Tamandua tetradactyla: one gene and its partner. The protein of the gene in region 2 interacts with the protein of the main gene of each other region in a biochemical or structural test. Links are inferred from orthologs where the notes say so. Each region holds a gene or a part of one and is shown on either strand. Other genes may lie near its edges.

The links.
Region 1: the proteins of DCAF11 (region 2) and SLBP form a complex in vitro, tested with the Homo sapiens proteins (2 studies listed by BioGRID, with this or other methods). The link is inferred for Tamandua tetradactyla from reciprocal best matches to the Homo sapiens genes DCAF11 and SLBP.

Annotation. Positions count from the first base shown.
Region 1 is NC_135345.1:1,393,933-1,403,939, forward strand, and holds the start of SLBP (histone RNA hairpin-binding protein), read right to left. Parts: upstream 5,490-10,007; 5' UTR 5,437-5,489; coding exon 5,393-5,436; intron 5,231-5,392; coding exon 5,072-5,230; intron 2,698-5,071; coding exon 2,593-2,697; intron 1-2,592. Other genes in the region: TMEM129 (E3 ubiquitin-protein ligase TM129), read right to left, coding at 9,818-10,007. UniProt on the Homo sapiens protein: RNA-binding protein involved in the histone pre-mRNA processing.
Region 2 is NC_135340.1:30,671,091-30,681,097, forward strand, and holds the start of DCAF11 (DDB1- and CUL4-associated factor 11), read right to left. Parts: upstream 4,633-10,007; 5' UTR 4,503-4,632; exon of another isoform or gene 4,432-4,502; intron 4,414-4,431; exon of another isoform or gene 4,282-4,413; intron 4,260-4,281; exon of another isoform or gene 4,132-4,259; intron 4,061-4,131; exon of another isoform or gene 4,031-4,060; 5' UTR 3,846-4,030; coding exon 3,691-3,845; intron 2,810-3,690; coding exon 2,682-2,809; intron 2,425-2,681; coding exon 2,297-2,424; intron 2,037-2,296; coding exon 1,972-2,036; intron 1,658-1,971; coding exon 1,557-1,657; intron 1,325-1,556; coding exon 1,178-1,324; intron 974-1,177; coding exon 919-973; intron 567-918; coding exon 498-566; intron 175-497; coding exon 117-174; intron 18-116; coding exon 1-17. UniProt on the Homo sapiens protein: May function as a substrate receptor for CUL4-DDB1 E3 ubiquitin-protein ligase complex.

The DNA of each region.
Region 1 (10,007 bases), on a different chromosome or scaffold from region 2:
AGCAGCTTCCCACGGGGATGGGTGCCCTGGATGTCACACGCCATGAGATGGCGAGGCACACAGGAGCCTCAGGGGGCTGTACAGCCCCGCGGGGGCCAGGCGAGGGGCCCTGGGCAGCTTGGACACAAGTGGATCACAGAGCCTGCCCAGGGCAAGTCAAAGCTTCCGATCGTCCAGGTGAGAAAACAGAGTCCTGCATAAAGAAAGACGACGCCTTCCCAACAGGCTCAACAGATGCTCTTGCACCTGTGGACTGCTGGGTTCCCTCCAGGGCCTGCCACCCACCTCGGGCACGCCACCGCTAGAAGTGAAGGGCGGACCTGCTCAGCATCCCAGGACCGCCCCAGTGTGTCCTTCCAGGAGGCAGCATGCCCCCGTCCACAAGTGCTGAGGCAGCTCTCGTCAGGACGAAGAGCCAGCAGAGACCCCAGGTGGCCTATGAACACTTAGGCTAACCCTCTCGGTTCAGTACATCCCAACTCGTTATCACAGCTTAACTCAAAGTTCATTCAGCTGGGGTACGGGGCAGAGGACCGAACTCATTTGCAGCAACGTAACCCAAAGTCAGGGACAGTGCTGAGCCAGGGAGAGGAGGGGCCCTGAGCGCCAAGCCTGGCTGTGCAACACACCCTTGCACACAGCCACGAGGGGCCCCCCACCCCAAGTTATGAGCCGTCCCATGCAACGGCGCATGACACTGCAAATGAGATGAACACCACTGAAAGAGTGTACTTGAAAGAGTGTGTGTGTGACAAACAAACTACAGGGCCGTAGAACAGAGTGAACCGTAAAGGACAACTAGCATACAACCCTAGTGGTGGCTAAACTAGAGAGACACAAACGCAGGGTGTTGAGAGAGAAAGCTGTGGGGGCAGCACATGGGAGCTGGACTTCGTGCGTGATTTTTCTATAAACCAACAGCTGCTCTTAAAAATAGACCTAGAAAGAAAGAAAGAAAAGAACCCTTCACCGTGCGCAGCCTGTCGGCACTGGCTTCCGGGCGCCCCGGCCCCAGGCAGCAGGTGGCAGGAGGAGGGGCTGCGCAGGACGGGACAGCCTTGCCCCAGGACAGTCGGAGCAAGAACCAGAGCCACAGGCCAGGGAGTAAAGCAGAGTGCCAGGCCAGAGACAGGGCTTCCTGGGGGCAGGGCTGGGCATCCTGGCTTCCCGGGCAGCGGCTGGGGAACCGGGTCAGCAGACCCTCAGACAGCCCCTTCCCATGGTTCACCCAGCCCAGAGGCCCCCAGAGACAGTCATGTGCAGCCCACGACAGGACACCCAGGCAGATAGGCAAGCTGGCCTCAAGGGCTCCCAGACTCAGAGCAGTGATGGACAGGAGACCTCCTGGGAGAGATGAAATCTGTGCTCCAAGCTCCCAGAGCTTCACCCCAAGCTCCTCCACACCCAAGATATGCGGGGGAGGGGGAGGCCGAGCAGATGTGCCTGCTCAACAGACTCACTCCCCGGCACTGCGGCCCACGTGTGCACCTGTCTGCCACGTGGCAGACAGCCGGGGCCGAACCCCAACTGACCTCGCTGTCCCTTCCAAAGCAAAGGCCGACAATGCAAGTTTGTCTTTAACTGCCCTCCAGGAAGCCAATGTGGCCGGATCCAGGCCCCCTGGGCAGCTGGGCAGGCCAGAGCTTCTCAAGGAGCCATGCCCGCCTGTGAGAGCCCGTGGAGCCTGAGGGTGAACCCAGGCCCTGCTTGTGGCACCATCGACTGGACCAATCTCTACTAAAAGCACAAAACGGTTCTTACCCCTTGGCTTATGAAATCTGCTTTGGAAAATGGGGGAAGGATCAGTTGGAACACACTCACAGCGCTGCAAATTAAGTCAGAAACTAGAAACACCCCACGCCCAAGAGGGGGCGGACAGCCAGGCCAGCAGGCGGCCACAAGAGCCAGGGCGGCACGGACCCCCGGGAACGTCAAGGGCAGCACCAATCCTCCCCAGGCCGGGAGGCGACTGGAACCGGAAGGGAAGAAGGAGCAACCCCAAGGCCCAGGGGTGATCTGTGCAGTAACCACATGCCACCTGCTATGCTCCAGTGTCACTCCAGCTTTGTGCAAACACCAGGAAAAGGAGGCAAAACTCCCTGAGCTCCAGTCAGGGTGGGCTGGGGCAGGCAACGGCACAACCACACAAACCTGGAGGCGATCTGCTCACCCTGCCCCTCACCTGGCCCCGGGCGCCCTAGGGACCTTGCACCAGGGCCAGCTCTCCCGGGGTGGACCATGAACACACGCGGGACTCTCAAGTCCAATGCCGCACCTGAGGAGCCCCCGGCACACTGCGCGTGACTGCCACGTGCTCGTTCTCTTTGCAGCACAACATTCCATTACAAAACTAAAGGGATTGACAAACCACAACTTACTTAGCCATTTTGCAAGGAAAAAAAGCACTAGCTTCCAGCTTTTTAAAAGAGTACTGGACCCCACCCCAGAATTTCCCACTTCTCACAAATCCTGAGCAGGGGCTGACGCTGCCAGCCGGGGTCACACCTGAGATGCACAGCAACAGGACACACTGCACATACAACATACAACCGACAACCAGCGATAACGCTCTTAGGCGTCCGGGCCCGTTACCTTGCAATCTCTTTATTAACCCTGGTCCTCATCTCATCTTCTTCGACTGCACTGCCCCAGTCTGAGCACCTGGATCGGGGCTTAGGGCCCTCAGGAGTGGTAAAGCTGCAAAGCAAAATGAAGATGCACATTCGAACCAGGACTGCTGCCCTGTGTCCCGTGAGACTCAACGCAGGCAGTAGCAGGCGCTGTTCTGCACAGTCACTCAAAGGGCACCGAGCTTGGGCAATTTGCTCAGCGTACCTCTGGGTTTCGTAAAGCTTTTACCACGTGCCTGCTGTGTGCCAGTGGTGGCTACGTGACCGGGTGACTGGGGGGGGGTGCAGGCAGGGGCAACAGGGTGTCTACCGTGCCAGGAAGAGCGGCCCACACACATGAGGACCTGTTTCCCTGGGACTCGTGAAAAGGTTTTCAGTCGATTTACCTCCTCAGTGCATGTCGGTCGCAACTGAGGACATGCCACACACAGGCAGGAGTGAGTACACAAGTGGACGCAGGAGGAATGGCACCAACTGGGGAAGGCACCACTTGGGGGTGAGTAAGCCTAACCCAGCACCTCTGCTCTACCTCAAGTTCAAGCAAATCTTAGGTCAAGATGAGGCCATCTTAAAACTCAAGCTTTGATACCAAGAAATTGGGCAGTTGGAATTGCTGGTGTCTGCTGTTTACATTTGATCTAAACTCACCTTTCAGTTTTCCTTCCCTACTTTTCTATCAGCTCCCACCAACATATCAAAACTAGGCACCAACTCCAGCTGCACGCAAACCCCATATTCCACCTACAAACCCCAAACAGAGCGCTTTGAAGTGCAATCGAAATAACAAATGAAGGATTCCTTCATGCTGTCACGTCTTCCTTTAGAGAAACACAGCAGTATTTTCTAAAAGAGGCAAATTTCCAAACCCTTAAAATGGTTGCAAAAGCCTGAAGTCAAATTAGCTCATTACTGGGAAGTCAACTGACTCAGTAATTACAGAGGAGGACCAAGCTAGGGCCCAGTGAGGCCCAATGTCCCAACAGGTACTGGGGCCGGGATCCCACTGTGGAAATCCACCCTCAAATCCATCCTTTAGGAACCCGTGGAGATGAACTCACTCCACCTCAGGTCCAGGCAGCGTGGAAGAGAACGCATTCACGGAGCTCTAGTCCACTCTCAGATCAGACGGTCACACCCCAGCCTCCCCACCTCGGGACGAGGGCACCCTGACGAACCTGCCACTCAGGAGAGCAGCAGGCCAGCCCTTCCGGGCTCTCCCTTCCACCCGGGCACCCCTCTTTCCCTTCTAGGGGCACCCCAAGGAGGCCCTGGGCCTGGCTGTGGGGCAGGAAGGCCCCTCCTCGCCCGCTCCCAGATCACATCCTCTTTTCAAGGTAACGAGTCAGTCTGCTCAACCCAAACTCCCTGCTGCCGCCACCCCGCCTCGCACAGGCCTCACCTGGGGGCACTCGCGTGTCCACAGGCTTGTGCTTGTGAGAATAAAGCCCCTGCTCACCACCAGGAAGTGTGAGCTCTAATGAGACCACAAGGGGCGTGCAGAGAGGCTTCGGGTGGCAGCACCCACTCCACAGAAGAGGGGATCAGGAGCTGCGGGGCAGCTCTTCGTGGAGGGCAGCTCAGGGATGGGCACCGCCACCCAGGAGGAGAGTCTCAGGCACACAACAGACACCAAGTGCCACGGCCCCAGGATGGGGCACTCTGCCACAGAGGAAGACCGAAGCAGTCCGCCTAGCAGGGACGCCAGATACCTCCGCCAGTGTGAGACCTGGAGGCTTATCTTCAGCCACACAGGAGACCCAGAGCGCTGGAGGGTCCAGAGCTCGGTTGGGATGTGTCTCCACAGGCCTCCTTACCTGCTCATCGCCTCGGACCCCACGGCTCAGACAGGCCTCTCCTACCCCCAGCGCCTGGCCAAGCCCATGGGGCCTCAATCCTGAAGAAGATCCCAGCAAGACGCCTCCTCCAGGCAGCCCCTCCAGGCCAGGCTGCTCAACTCGGCTCTCCACCTGGCAAACGGCTCCACTAGCTCCACAGCTGCCCATCAGACCCCACTCCCATCCCATCGGCAAATGCTGCTGGGTCTGCCTGCAAGCGCCCCTCCTCTGAGACCACCCATTTCTCACCACCAGCCCTGCTCGACTGGGCCAAGGGCCTGGACCCCCTCGCACCCCAACTGTGTCCTCCTGCAGCCAGTCCCAGCCAGCATGGGGACCGTCGCGGCAGGGCCGCCACCTCCCGCTGCTCCCCTCCGGGGCCCCGCTGCACGCCGCCGAGACCCACCAGCGTCGCGGCCCGCAGGGCTCTCGGGAGCCACGTCGGAGCGACTCACCTGGACGCCCTCCGGGCGCGCGCGGGCCGCCCGCCCTCCTTTCGGGCTGCAGCCCCTCCGAAGGGACGCACACAGGGCCCGCGAGCGGCCTGAGACCCGCCCGAGCCTGTTCCGCGGGGACCCTGCGGCCAGGGGCCGGGGCGGCTCTCACCTCTCCAGCCGGTAGTCCGCCCTCCGGGGCGCGCCTCCGTCCCAGCGCGCGGGGCTCGGGTCCTCGCCGGGCGCGCGGGGGTCGTTGTCCTCGGGCTTCCTGCGCTTCCCGTCGGCTCTGCGCTTCCGGCCCAGGGACCACCTAGCTGGGGAGCGCGGGCTGCGGCCAGGGCGTCGCTGTCAGCCAGGCCGGGCCGCCGGGGCCCCCGCGCCCCCACGGGACCCCTCCCGGGACTCCGCGCGGCGACCGCCCCCCCCGGAACCTCCACAGCCCCGCGACCTCCGCGTCCGAGGGCGGCCCCCGCTCCCGGGCCGGTCTCACCTGGCGTCGCGGCACCGGGGAAGGCTTCGCGGCCGGCAGGCCATGGCGGGGCGGGCGGCGGGAGTGCGCGAGCTGCGGCCGGAGGCGGGAGAAGACGCCGCGGCGCCGGCGCTGACAGGAACTGCGCGCACGGCCCGCCCTCAACCGCTTTTAGGCGGCCGCCGGGCCCCGCCCCTCGGGGCTCCCGCGCGCGCCGGCGTCGGCCGCGACCATCGGGTGCAGACGGCGGGGGACGCCGGCCTGGACGCACGCGCCGCGAAAGCTGCTCCGCCGGGGCTGGGCTCCCAGGACAGCCGGGAGCGCCGAGACCACGGCCCCGAAGGCTGCGCGCGCGCAGACGGGCTGGCGCTGCCCCGCTGTCTGAGGACCGGCCCGAGGGCCAGGCCGCCACCCCCCGGCGTGGAAGCGGCCGGACCGCCGCGGGCCCCTCGCGCACCGATTGGCCGCGCCCTCGCGGGGGGGGCGGGAGTGTTGGCGGGAGATTCGGACGCGCGCGGCGCGGGCGCCCGGAGAGGGCGGGCCGGGCGTCCCGGATTGGCCGCGGCTCGGGTAGGGCGCGCCTGCGATTGGCCGGGCCCCGGGGTCGTGCCCCGAACTGGCGGGAACGGGAACCCGGAAGGCGCGGACCTTTTGCCCGGGTTAGCGCGGACCAAACTGGCCTGTTTCCGCCAGTCGGGGAGACGAAGTTGGGCCGGGGCCGCCCGAGACCGCCGCTCCGGCCCTCGCGTGTGAGGGGCCCACGGAGGCTGGGCGGGAGCCCGTGGGGCGGAGAAGGGTGCCGGGGGCGCAGCCTCGCGCGTCCTCCCCAAAGCCGTGGCTTTGACTCAGGCCTAAGGTCTGGGTCGCCCTGAGAGGCCCGAGAGGCAGGAGGATGGACTGTGGTGAGGAGGGCCTCTGCCCCTCCTGCGCCCGCACCCTCCAGGACCATCTTCTCAAAGTTCCCCGGATCCCCCCGCTGGGCCCCAGTCACAGGTGTCCTCTTCCCACGCGCTCCCCAGAGCCGGGCAGGGCCGGCTCTGTGTCCAACCCTTCTTTGTCACTCACCACCTTTGCTCATCTCAGTAACCTTGAATCGCCCAAGGCAGTGGCAGAGCATGCCCACCTCTGCTTGAAGCCCTCCCTGGCATCCCCCTGACACACCCCACTGTGTCCCCCAGCCCGTGGGCCTCCCTGCCTGCTTCCCCAGCTTTGCTGGGACCATGCTGCCCTCCCCACCCACCTTCTGGCCTGGAAAGCTTGCACACACACCTTCCTGCCTCAGGGCCTTTGCACTCCATCTTCTCTCACTAGAAAACTGCCCCTGCCCGTCTTTCAGAATTCAGCTCACCGTTCCCCTCCTGTGAATCTATCCCAACAACCCTTCCAAAGGTGGCCCTCACCTCCCAAATGTGGTAACTGGCTTCCAAGACGGCCCCCCTGTAAGGGAGTCCCTTCCCACTGCACGGGCTTGTGTGTAGCCAATAGGATGTGGCAGAAGGGGAGCTCGGTCACCGAAGACACTGGGTTTTTCCTTGTCTTCCCCTGGATCACTTGCTCCAGGGGCAGCCAGCTGCCATGCTGGGAGGAGCTCAAACAGCCCCATGGCCAGGGATGGAGACCTCCCACCAAGGACCACATCAACTCATCAGCCATTGCAAGCAGTCTGTCTCGGAAGCAGGTTCTCCCGAGTCACGCCTTCAGAGACTGCAGCCCAGGCCAATGTCCCTGTGGGGTGTTGGGGAGACCCCAAGCCAGGGCCATCCAACATACTCTGAATATCTGACACCCAGGAACTGAGATGTGTTTGTTGTTTGAAACCATCATCTGGGGTGGTTTGTTAGGCAGGGCTAGATGACAATGTGCTATCTTCTCAGCCGCTCTGGTGGCCCTTACCACCTGCTGGACACCCTTTATGCCCACTGTGTTAGTTAGATTCAGTTGTCAACTTGGCCAAGTGAGCATACCTAGTTCTGTTGCTGCAGACACAAGCCAATGGTACGGGGACCTCATCTGTTGCTAATTACATCTGCAGTTGCTAGGAGGCGTGTCTGCTGCAATGAGTGAAGTTTGACTTAATTGGCTGGTGCTTAAATGAGAGAACGCAATGTAGCACAGCCTAAGCAGCTCGGCATTCCTCATCTCAGCACTCGCAGCTCAGCCCAGGCCTTTGGAGATGCAGAAAGAAGTCACCCCTGGGAAAGTTGTTGGAACCCAGGGGCCTGGAGAGAAAACCAGCAGAGACCATCCTGTGCCTTCCATGTAAGAAAGAACCTCAGTGGAAAGTTAGCTGCCTTTCCTCTGAAGAATCAACAAAATAAATCCCCTTTTATTAAAAGCCAATCCGTCTCTGGTGTGTTGCATTCCAGCAGCTAGCAAACTAGAACACCCACCTTTTCTACACTGCACTAGCCTGCCTGGTCAACAGTTAGTAGGGGCTGGAAGAACCCATTCCCACTCTGCTCCCTGGGGCCTGGGCGGGCTGCAGTGTCTGGCAGAATCACTGGTCCGTAGAGCCACCAGAGCCCCACTCGGCTGCGGTATCTGCGTGTTCCCCACCTGCCCCTCATCCTGTCCTGCTTCCAAAACAGTGGGAACGGTGGTCCCTCGCCAGGCAGCACCCCAGGCAGGGTGCAGCTGCACTTGGGGGCAAAGCCCCAAAGCTCCCCAAAGCACGGTTCAGGATGAGGGGTGGCCAAGGATGCAGGCAATGGTGCAAGGCCTTGGCCCAGCCCAGGAAGTCTGGCCTCAGGAGTCCCTTCCCCTCCCCCCCCCACCCAGGAGGGGCCGGCGCCCCCAGCCCTGCCCATGCTGCCACAACCCCCAGCACTGCAGGGACCTGGCGACTGTCGACCCATGTCCTCCCTCAGACCGTGCAGCTAGCTAAAGCAATACTTTTACTTCAGCTGAGCCAAGGAATGAGGGTGAGAGAGCTCCGAAAGCAAGAACACAGAGACCTCAAGTCCCCCAACCGGGCTGTGTGTGCTTCTGCAGATGAAGGAACAGCATAGGGGAAACAGCAGCAAACGTTCTGGGGGGTCCCCTACAGGCCCAGGACGGCACCAGTCGGGGGGTCAGGAGCCTCTGAATGGGCAGTGCTGGGTTCCCCTGGTGGGCACAGGAGGCGACCTGCCAAGGCCGGCAGCCACCTCTCACCTGAGCACCCCAGGCCCTGGTGTGTCCTCGCAAACGGTGCCTGTTCCTCTTCCTGAACAAGACAAGCCACACGACAGCGGCTTCTCAGATGCCACCTGGGCCTTCCCAGAGGGTTATGAAAACTTGAATTTAAACAAAGGATTTAGGTCTGGAAATGCATGTAATTTCAGACTTGTATTTAATTAAATACTGCAACATTTGGCTACAATTGATTTATCTTTATGAAACTAACTTTCTCCTGTAGAGAGAGTAACCTCCAGCTGCCCCATCTGCTGGGCAGCACCTGACAACACCTTCACTGCCCTCATCTGGTGACCACCCATGGGGCGTCCTGTGGGGTCTCTGCTCCCAAGGGCCTGGCCATGGGGGGGTCAAGTGGAGGTCTTGGTCCAATAGAGGCTGGGCCTGCCAGGGCCCTCTCACTTGCTTCAAATGCCACCTGAGGCTAGGGGTTCTAGGGCCACAAGTGTGAGGACTCCAAGGCAGGGGGCAGGGTCCTCCCCTGGGCTACATTGGTCCTCTCCCCACCTGTGCCATGGGGGGCTGGGCAGGCACCTATAGGTGTCCTGACCACAAGGCAGGCCCCTTCTGACCTGCGTGGGCCCTGAGGGCTGAGCCTGGCCCTGTGCTGCCTCATGGCATAATCTCCACAGCCTGGTCTGTGGACGGGAGAGCCAAGGGTGGCTCAGCTCAAAGGCTCCCAGGTACTGGGGAGGGGCAGCAAAAGGCACCAAGGACGGCGAGTGCCGTCCAGCAGGCAGGGTGGCCCGAGCAAAGCCGAGAGAACAGGGCTGAGGACAGTCGGCCCCTTACCCAGCCCCCTGCCTGGGCTCTCTCAGTCAGGGGTCTCTGAAGGCAGGGACGTGTGGGAGTCAGGGTCCCCTCCCAACCCCCAACAACCCACACGTGTGTGGGGCCCCGAGTTCTCCCGTACCCACTCTTCCCGGCAGCTTCCATGGTATGGGGGAGGTGGGGGTTGGGCCATGCCGGGCATCAGGGCAGAAGGAAACTTGTAATAAGGGGCAGGTGTGTCCCCTGCATTAAGGCAAGGGGCCCAGGTGAGGGCCATATGGGCAGAGCCCTGGGCCTCCCACAGAACCGGGGCTGGGAGACACCTGGGGACAGGCACTGCCCTGCCAGGAGGACAGTAGAGGGATGTGAGGAAGCAATGCAGGCGCCCGGGCTTTAAGAGCAAAGAGAGTTCTTGGCGCCCTGCGAGGGGCCCTCCCAATCATGGGGTCCTGAGGGAATCTGGACAGGGCAGGGCCGACCCGAGACGCCCCCCAGGCCCGCTCAGCGCACGGCACACACGTCCAGAATGCAGAAGCGGGCGCGGCAGGTGGGGCAGGGCACGCGGCTGGCCAGCCAGGTGTCGGGGCGCTGCTGGTCCTGGCGGCTGGCGAACCACTTGCCCAGGCAGGTGAGGCACCACATGGGCCGGCAGTAGCACTGCTGGCACTCCCCCGCGCCCGCCTCCTGGCAA
Region 2 (10,007 bases):
TCTTCATGGGACTCAATCTAGGAGGAGAAAGAGACCAGTATGTCTACAACCTCCTTCTAGGTCTTCTCACAGAGCAAGGACCAGGAGCCAGAGGCTCTAAGTCTGAGGAACAATACCTGAAGGGTGCGCCGGTTCTGTTCTCGGTCAAAGACATACAGACAACCATCATTGGCACTGAAAAGGAAGAGATAAAGAGGGTCCTGGAGCCAGGACCAAGAAAAGCAATGCTATGTGTACTCTGGAGAGTGTCTATTGAGAAGCCCTGCTGAGGGGCAAGCCCCTTGTCTCACCTCATACAGGAAGAGAGAGAAGAGTTAGCTGTGTCTGACTGCACAGAAGTTTGAGACCTGCCACCTGGTACTGAGGAAATGGTGACTAAGAGGTGAAGCAACTTGTCAACCTTGACCTTAAAGAAGGGCTGGGTAGGGGTGTCTAGTGCAGTCTAACAGGAGAGCTTATCTCATTAACTGAGGGAGCCATCTCCTGCAAATACTCACCCTCCTAGCACTTCTCGTCCATCTGAGGAGACAGCAATGGAGAAGACAGCAAAGCGACGCTCATCTGGCCTGAAAGGAGCGAAGAATGAACTAGGTAAATAGACTTCCCTTCAACTTTTGTTAATCTACATGGAATCACTTGAGGATTGTAAAGCACACTTGTAAGGGAAAACAGAAGTCCTGTCAACATGTGCCAGAATGCAGATCACCTCATTGAGAACCCAGAAATGATGCTGCAACCATCTATTTTACACAGGCCTTCTGGCTGACAGGATGGGCAGTTTCTTCCCAGGAATCCACAGAGAAACTTGCAACCAATGTACTTTTCCCTTAAGAACAGGTTCCCGTTCAAGAAGTTTGTTTCTGAAGAGCCCTCCTTAAGAAGTTTCTGATGAGTCGGATGAGGAAGGGAAGGCAGTACCTGAGATCCAAGGCCGTGTGTGTGTCTCCCTCCCCATAGATGTTGCAGATATGAACTAAGAGAAGCAAGAGAAACAAGAATCTTTCAGGACTGGGCGAAGACTCATGGAAGTGAAGCTAGGGAAGAGCTGCAAAAAAGAGCAAGGATATCAGAGTACCCTGGGAATGATTTTTCCAAGATGAGGCATGGAGTCCTCTCGGGAGTACGGAAAACTCAGATCCCAGGATAGAGAGACAATGAAAGTCTGGTGCATACTCACTGTAATCAGACCAGCTGGAGTATAGGAAGTGGTTCCCATCAGGGGTGAAGGCCACATCCAAGATGCTCCAGCCTACATCCCGGGCCTTGATGCTTTTGAATTTATGGAAGCGGCCATAACGGCAGTCATATAGTCGGATTGTCTGGTCTGTGCAAGTGAGAATAAGGCAGAATTACGGGAACACCCCCTTAATTCTCCTGGATCAGCCCTCTATCACTCAGTCTATCTGTGGAATCTTTCTTTTATCATAAAAAATACATTCTGATTAAGCCTCCTAAGACAGAGTCTGAGCTCTCTGGGTCTGGGGCTTTCTAGCCTCTGTCAGGAGGAATGTTTCCTATTTCAGGCAAGGGCAGCTTGTGGGGCCAGGGTCTGGTACCTTGGCAAGCAGACATGAAGATTTGACCATCCTTGCTGTAGATGCCACAGAAAGCCTTCTGAGAGTAGGTGTCAGTGAAGCCCAGATCATTGGGCAAGAAGCTGGGAAACACACGGAAAATGAGGGTGAGGGGACTTCAGGGTGAGGAGTGCCCTAGTTAACAGGATCCTAACAGGGCAGAAATACCAGCATAAAGGTATTCTTTCCTTTTGGCTTGGCATATAATCCCTTTTCTTTCACCCTATCTATTATCATCTTTATTTCTACACTTTTCCACTTTGTTTACTCTCAAAGCTGCAACCCATTTAATCTGTAACCTTAACATCTCTGAGATCTTTTAACACCTGCCCCTTCAAAGTACAGGGGATAAGACCTATCTGGCCCTTAGAGTCTCTCCACTGAGCCCCATACTCACTGAGACATCACTCGAGACTGCTCTCCAAGGGAGAAGCTTCCTTGGTGGCAGAGGCCCCGTTGTCTCTAAATGGAAGGGATTGGTGAATATTGCTAGCAGATACAGAGGGCCGCTAAAGCCACACCAAGACCCCTCCTCCAAAGACATTGCTCTTGCTAAAGAAATGGACTACACATAACCTTGACACAAGTCGGCCAAGAACTCCCCAGCATGAGCATGTGAGACTTCCTTGGAGGGTTTACCTCCCTCCTCTCGGGAGGTAGCAAGAACTTCTGGATACCCTGGCAGGCCAGGTGTCAGGCTGGTTGGGGATGAAGAAACCTACCTGGTACAGCATTCGAGGAAAGCTGTGTTCCTGGGCTGCCTGCCTAAGTCTCAGCCGCCCTGTGGCCAATTCCACTTGTGTTTTGATCTCGTTGCACTCCAGCTCCCGGGTATCAGGGGTCACATCCACTATGAGTACCAAAGATAAGTTTCACCCTAGGTCTTCTAGCTCCAGAGGGCAGTTAGCATAACTGTGTCCAAAACAGGACGAAGATGGGCCTCACCAATGTGGCTGAGTATACTGGGGGTTACAAAGATTCCCTCATTCCCTGAATTATCTCATCTTCTTTCAGTCTAACCCATGATTCTTCTCACACACATACACACAAAAGGTTTTCTAATTAAAATCTTCCAATTTTAGGGTCTCAATCTGTTTTTACTCTTACCAGGTGGGTTGTATCGGTCCCCCAGACGACCATCCCAGGCACTGTCATGCTCTTCCTCAGAGTCAGAGAGGGCCTGGATGAGCTGTAAATTTGCAGCTCCTCCTCCCTGCACCAATCTCATTTGGCCTCTGTGGAGAGAGCCCCCCCCCCCCCCACGATAAAGGCGGGAATCCCTTTCCCCAGCCCAGCCAAATTCAGAGTCAGTGCCCACTTCACTCTTAGACCATGTGAACTCAAACCCTAGTACTGTCCCCACTTTGAGGGCTGGAGACTGACTACACCTTGCCTGTTATTTTCCGTCTCCTGTAAGTCATGTAAATTGATATTTACTCTTAGAGCAGGAGTAGAGAACTAAGTGGATTTCCCATGGAGAAAAAAATTCTGACAGCATTTCCTTCTGCGCTTCAGCCTGAGAAGCCCAACATAAAACAGTATTCTGAAGGGATTCCTGGGCTTGTCTTCTCCCTAACCATAAGCCAGGAAACAAAGCCAGTCGCACCCCTTTCCAGTTAATTCTTGGTGGTCATCTCCTACAAGCCATTCTTGCCTCAAGACTAGGGTTAGAGTTAGGTCAATTTAAACTTGTTTTTCAAGTAAATCCACAGGATCTCATATCAAATGTCAATGGCTTTACTAAAGTTCCACTCCTCCCTCCCAAACACTTCTCCTCATCTCCTACTTCACTCCTTATCCCTCAGGGCCCTTTTTTTTTTACTTACTCAGAAAATAGATTAAATAGAAATACATGCATGTAGTCACAGTCAGTGAGACTCCCCTGAACTGCCCCTTCAAACACAAGAACGGGTTCCCCTAGTGACCTACCCTAGCCAAGGTAAGAACCACTCCTACTGGATATGGAGTTGAAGCCAGGGCTGGCCAGGAGGGGAAGACCCTCAGAGTAACCACCCTGGGCTAGTTACATTTCCTAACTTCTATGATTTCCCTGCCTGGAGTTGGGAGCAAGGGTCTGTGGTGGCACCTGGTGAGGACACACCAGAAGGTAAGTTACCTGCGTAGTAGATAGGCCAGTACCTGGGCCAGATCCACATCTTCATCCTCCTCTTCCTCTTCCTCACTCCTTCGCAGGCCAGCCCCTCTTTGGGGCAAGCCCTCGGAGGGGTCTCCGGACCCAGATCCTGCACTGCTGCTGTTTCTTGATCCCATCTTCTGGTCACAGCATCCTCAGGACCTCTGCTGGGGTTCTTCTTGTCACTTCCTTGGTGAAAGCAAAGCCTGCTCTAGAAATACTAGGGTCTCCAGAGAAGAGAACGCCTTCCTAGGAACTGTGATCCCTTCTCTTTAGCATGTGACAACTCCCAAGGTTTCAGGAACACAAACCTTCCCCAGTCCTGTGAAGCACAGAAAACAGAAAGTGAAGCCTAGGGCGATACCCTAGTTTACCAAAGAATCCTTCGAAGAGGAATTTCTCAGTTTTCTATCCCAAACTCACCTATCAAAGTCCCTGTGGGGGGGGGCGGATTCCCAGGTAACCTGTCTGGCTGACCAATTAAAAGGCTCGCGGAAGAAAGCGCCTCACTAGCTTATCTCACCTAACCAATCAGAAGCCTGAAGAGTCAGAGACCCCCGACGCCCCCCTTACCGACCAATAAGGGCACTCTCTTGCGCAGGCCGGCAGCATCGACAGCCAATGAAGTTAGAACTCGACCCCCTCCTCCCCTGCCTCACGCCCACGTGGTGTGCCGGGGGTGTGTTCGCCAAGGAGAGAGGCAGGGAGGAAGTCGCCAAGCACCTCCTACTGAAGTCGGCGGTTACTACCCCGCGCGAAACCACCCTCTAGCCAGGAGCAGTAGCGGGACCTACAGCTGCGCTAGGCCTTGTTTACAACGACTGCAGCCGCAGCGTCTGCCAACCGCTCCTCCGTCATGCGCCTCGTCCGTCACGCATCTGCCGGCTTCCCTGCCGAGCGCCGACGTCACGCGACGCCCGCGGCGGCTCCGCCCCCTGGGCTTGCTGACTGGGTAGCGGAGCACAGTGATTGACAGGTGGGCGGGAGAAAGTGCCTATGGGGGTCTGAGCGGGTCTGAGGCAGGGAGAAAACACGAATGGAGAAGGGGCGTTCGCTCTCCTAGGGAGCAGGGAGTAAATTCCGGAATCTGCTGCTTTCTAGCTCCCAGACCACGGAACTTGATTTGATGGCAGAGAGGAAGCCGCGCAAAAGAAACGGATAGCGGTTCGTCTTAGCAAGGGTTACCATTTTCTGTGTGTCCCTAAATTCTTTTGGCTTCACACTTTTCAGACAGTGCCGAAATCTCCGCTTGATCAGTTCTCTTTTCGCTTCACTGGGCCCTGCCCTAAGTATGAAGTGCATTTTCTTTCGCCTGGGATGTCTTCATGTTACAGTTGGGGATTCCAATCCTCCACACCCACCTGGCTTTAGCTTCCGGAAGCCTCGTTCTTGTAGGATCGGCAACTTTTTAGATGATCCCTAGCTGGGCTCCGCGAACTTTACACACACTCCCTGACGCAACTGTCGCCTGTGCTACCCCACCCCACTCCTCCCCACACCCCGTTCCCTTGGTCCTCCGGGATTTGCACTTTCGCGAGACCCTCTGTCCTCGCGGTGCTCCCCTCACTGGGCTGCGGGCCCTGCGTGCGCACACACGCCACCTGCCACTCCGTTCTCCGAGTTTATGAGTAACAGCACTGAGTCCAAGGCCGGGACTCGCCACGTCTCGGGATCTTTGCCCAGGCTGTGGAGGAGTGGGGGTGTGTGTGTGTGTGTGTTTGGGACTAATGACCACGCAGAGGTCCCTGGTCTGAAAAGTGTGTGTGTGTGTGTGTGTGTGTGTGTGTGTGTGTGTGTTTGGGACTAATGACCGTGCAAAGGTGTGTGTGTGTGTTTGGGACTAATGACCACGCAGAGGTCCCAGGTCTGAAATGTTTGTGTGTGTGTGTGTTTGGGACTAATGACCACGCAAAGGTCCCAGGTCCGAAATGAACGCGCCGGCACGCTCTTAGAAGTGCTGCGAAACTTCCCCCTCAGCCCAGAGCCTCTGAAGGCAGGTCGGGGAGCGACGGCGCCCAGTTCTTCCCTGGAGCCCTGAGGCTCACTCTCCCTGAGAAGCGAAGGCGAGGTGTGCTCGCACCTTCGGGTGATCCCGCCTGGCCCTTAAACCAGCTACCCTGGAGCGCATCACGTCTGCTCACTGCGCGGGGCTGCCTGGGCGAGTCAGCTGTGGCGTCTCTTAGAAGAGCCCCCCCGCCTGGTTTAATGTTTTGCTGTCGTGGCCTTGAAACTTAATTTTAAACAAGAAGTCCAGGTTTTAATTTTGCTCTGGGTCCCACAAATTATGAAGCTGGTCATCCATCTCCTATTATCTATTACTATCTGTGCCCTATAACGTCTATTGAGACCTTAGGATTCCATGACTTCTGGGTTACCCCGCCTGAAAAAAATCTGGAATCATTTTTTTAGAAGTATCTTTCTCTACTTTTTGTCCTTTAAATTCAGTTCTTCGAGTCCTGCAGATTCTTTAGCTGATGAGTAGAAGCTGTTTTCCAATGGCTACCACCCAAGATCCAATTTTCATTTCTTCATGCCTCTCCCCAGCTAGTTGATCTGCTACACGTATCCTCCTCTAACAGCATTTAGTTTCTGCCCTACAATAGAAGACAAGAGTTTCTCTTTATTCTACCCAGAGCTGTACATGTGTCCCAAGAGCTCTGGGAAGTCACCACTCTGGGGACTGAGGTAGGGGAAGGTGGAAGAAGAGGGAGGGGGCAGTTAGCCAGAGAATGGAAGTCGTACTTCTCTCCTCTCCAGTCCAGCTCGCCCTCTAGTGGAGTTAGAGGGCAAGAAGGAGCAGGAAAGAGCCCGGGGCAGGGCAAACAGGAAGTTAATCTGCTGACATTTACTTAGCAATTAACCAAACTGGCCCTAAAATGGGTGCTGAAGGTAGAAAATCTCTCTTTGGCTTTAAGTATAGCTGGGAAGAGTAGAGGCTGCCCAAATGAAAAGCACTTTGTAAAGTGTCACCAAATAAATGCCAAATTTCAAAATCATGAGAGGGAAAGCCAATAGAGCTTATCAAAATAACTTAATTATAATTATTTTTAAAGAATGCCATTTTATTTCTTTCAGTAGAATTCATAGTAGACCCTAAGATATAAATGTTCATATACACTGTGAAAAATTAATATTAGCGGTTACAAAAGGCTTAAAAATCTTCTACATATAAAAAATAATCAATGGATCCAGAGGTGAAAACCTACATTCTTTATCATTTGAGTTGATGTTAAAGGGGACTCATTTTGGTCATAAAACCCCAGAAACTTATTTTGACATTACCATGATTTTCAAATGTTCACTTTTGTTAATCATTTCAAATACAAATACCAAACCTGGCTGTTGTTGTTTTTTTAATTTTTATTGATAAAACAACGTACAAGGACATACAAACATTCCATACATGGTGTACAATCAGTGGCTCACAATGTCATCACATAGTTGTCTGTTCATCACCATGATCATTTTTTAGAACATTTGCATCACTCCGGAAAAAGAAATAAAAAGAAAAAAAGAAAAAACTCATACATACCATACCCCTAGCCCTCCGTCTCATTGACCACTAGTATTTCCATCTACCCAATATATATATTTTTAATTTTAACATTTGTTCCCCCTATTATTTATTTATTTTTAATCCATATGTTTTACTTGTCTGTCCATACTGTAGATAAAAGGAGCATCAGACACAAGGATCTGATTGTTTTTTACCACCAATTTTTGTTACTCCTGCCAAACAAACATGCCCATAAATGCCTTGCAAGTTTCCACTTCTGCACCTTCCCAGGAAAGCTTCTTATCTGATATACTCCTGTTTCTACCAGTTAGATTCCCTTCCACACAGCCTTGCACTTTGACCCACTGGTACCACTTCCGGGAATCTAGTCCAGACCTGTCTAAAAATTTATGTTCAGCCTAGCAATTATTTTTAATAGTGAAATACTGGAAACAAAGAAGATTAAAATATCCTGTAATATGGGATTGGGTAAATAAATCATGGTCCATATACACTGTAATAACACGTAGCCTTTGAAATGATGTTGTAGTCTTCTATTTTTATACCATGGGATATTGTGCAAGCTGCTGGTTAAGTTGAAAAAAAAAAAAAGATGGTGGTCGTTTGGTGACACCTGGTGGATGCAAAAACAATCTGGTTTCAATTTTGCATTAAAAATTAAATCAATGGCAAATTGTTTCATGAACAAAAGATTTTGATTACTACAATTTGCACACCTGGGATCTAAGGGAAAAAAAATTTGTCTGTTAAACTCACTTCCTTAATAATGCATTTTTTATTACTTTTTTTCTTCTCCTTAGCACTTAATAAAATAATAAAGCCTTGTTAATTCAAGCCTTTGTAATGTGGAACTTATATATTATTGAATACATTTGAAAATCATGGTAATGTCAAAATAAGTTTCTGGGGTTTTATGACCAAAATGAGTCCCCTTTAACATCAACTCAAATGATAAAGAATGTAGGTTTTCACCTCTGGATCCATTGATTATTTTTTATATGTAGAAGATTTTTAAGCCTTTTGTAACCGCTAATATTTTTTCACAATGTATATGAACATTTGTATCTTAGGGTCTACTATGAATTCTATTGAAAGAAATAAAATGGCATTCTTTAAAAATAATTATAATTAAGTTATTTTGATAAGCTCTATTGGCTTTCCCTCTCATGATTTTGAAATTTGGCATTTATTTGGTGACACTTTACAAAGTGCTTTTCATTTGGGCAGCCTCTACTCTTCCCAGCTATACTTAAAGCCACAGAGAGATTTTCTACCTTCAGCACTCATTTTAGGGCCAGTTTGGTAATTGCTAAGTAAATGTCAGCAGATTAACTTCCTGTTTGCCCTGCCCTGGGCTCTTTCCTGCTCCTTCTTGCCCTCTAACTCCACTAGAGGGTGAGCTGGACTGGAGAGGAGAGAAGTACGACTTCCATTCTCTGGCTAACTGCCCCCTCCCTCTTCTTCCACCTTCCCCTACCTCAGTCCCCAGAGTGGTGACTTCCCAGAGCTCTTGGGACACATGTACAGCTCTGGGTAGAATAAAGAGAAACTTCTGTCTTCTGAAGTGACCAGTTCTTATACATATGTTTACATGGTCTCCTTGCTTCTCTGTGTAAAAGGAAAGGGGGAAGTGTGCTAACTATAAAGCAATTGTGTATTTATGGGATATTTGAATATTCTCATGGCCTGTGTCCTTGAGAACCAGAATTTTCAAGTGGAGGATAGGAGCTACAGATAGAAAACAAAAGAGGTTGAAAATCCTTAGGCCTGAATTTAAATAGTAACTATCAGTTTGAATTCATGAGGTATTTTTTTATTTATTAATTTTAAAAAATGTTTAACAACAAACAAACAGAAACATTCTTAACATATGATCATTCCGTTCTACATATATAATCACTAATTCACAATTTCATCACATAGTTGCATATTCATCATCATGATCATTTCTTAGAACATTTGCATCAATTCAGAAAAAGAAATAAAAAGACAACAGAAAAAGAAATAAAACGAAAACAGAAAAAACCTTTACCCCTCCCTTTCATTGATCACTAGCATTTCAAACTAAATTTATTTTAACATTTGTTCCCCCTATTATTTATTTTTATTCCATATGTTCTACTCGTCTGTTGACAAGGTAGATAAAAGGAGCATCAGACACAAGATTTTCACAATCACAAAGTCACATTGTGAAAGCTATATCATTATTCAATCAACATCAAGAAACATGGCTACTGGAACACAGCTCTACATTTTCAGGCATTTCCCTCCAGCCTCTCTGTTACATTTTGAATAACAAGGTGATAGCTACTTAATGAGTAAGAATAACCTCCAGGATAACCTCTGGACTCTGGAATCTCTCAGCTACTGACACTTTGTCTCATTTCACTCTCCCCCCTTTTTGTCCAGAAGGTTTTCTCAATCCCTTGATGCTGAGTCTCAGCTCATTCTAGGATTTCTGTCCCACGTTGCCAGGAAGACCATACCCCTGAGAATCATGTCACATGTAGACAGGGGTGGGGGAGTGGTGAGTTTGCTTGTTGTGTTGGCTGGAGAGAGAGGCCACACCTGAGCAAAAAAGAGGCTCTCTTGGGGGTGACTCTTAGGCCTCCATTTTAAGTAGGCTTGACCTATTGTTTGTGGGGTTAAATTTCATATGAACAAACCCCAAGACTGAGGGCTCAGCCTATAGCTTTGGTTGTTCACACTGCTTGTGAGAATTTCAAGAATTCAAGTTGGGGAAGTTGAATTTTCCCCCTTTCTCATGAGGTATTTCATCTTC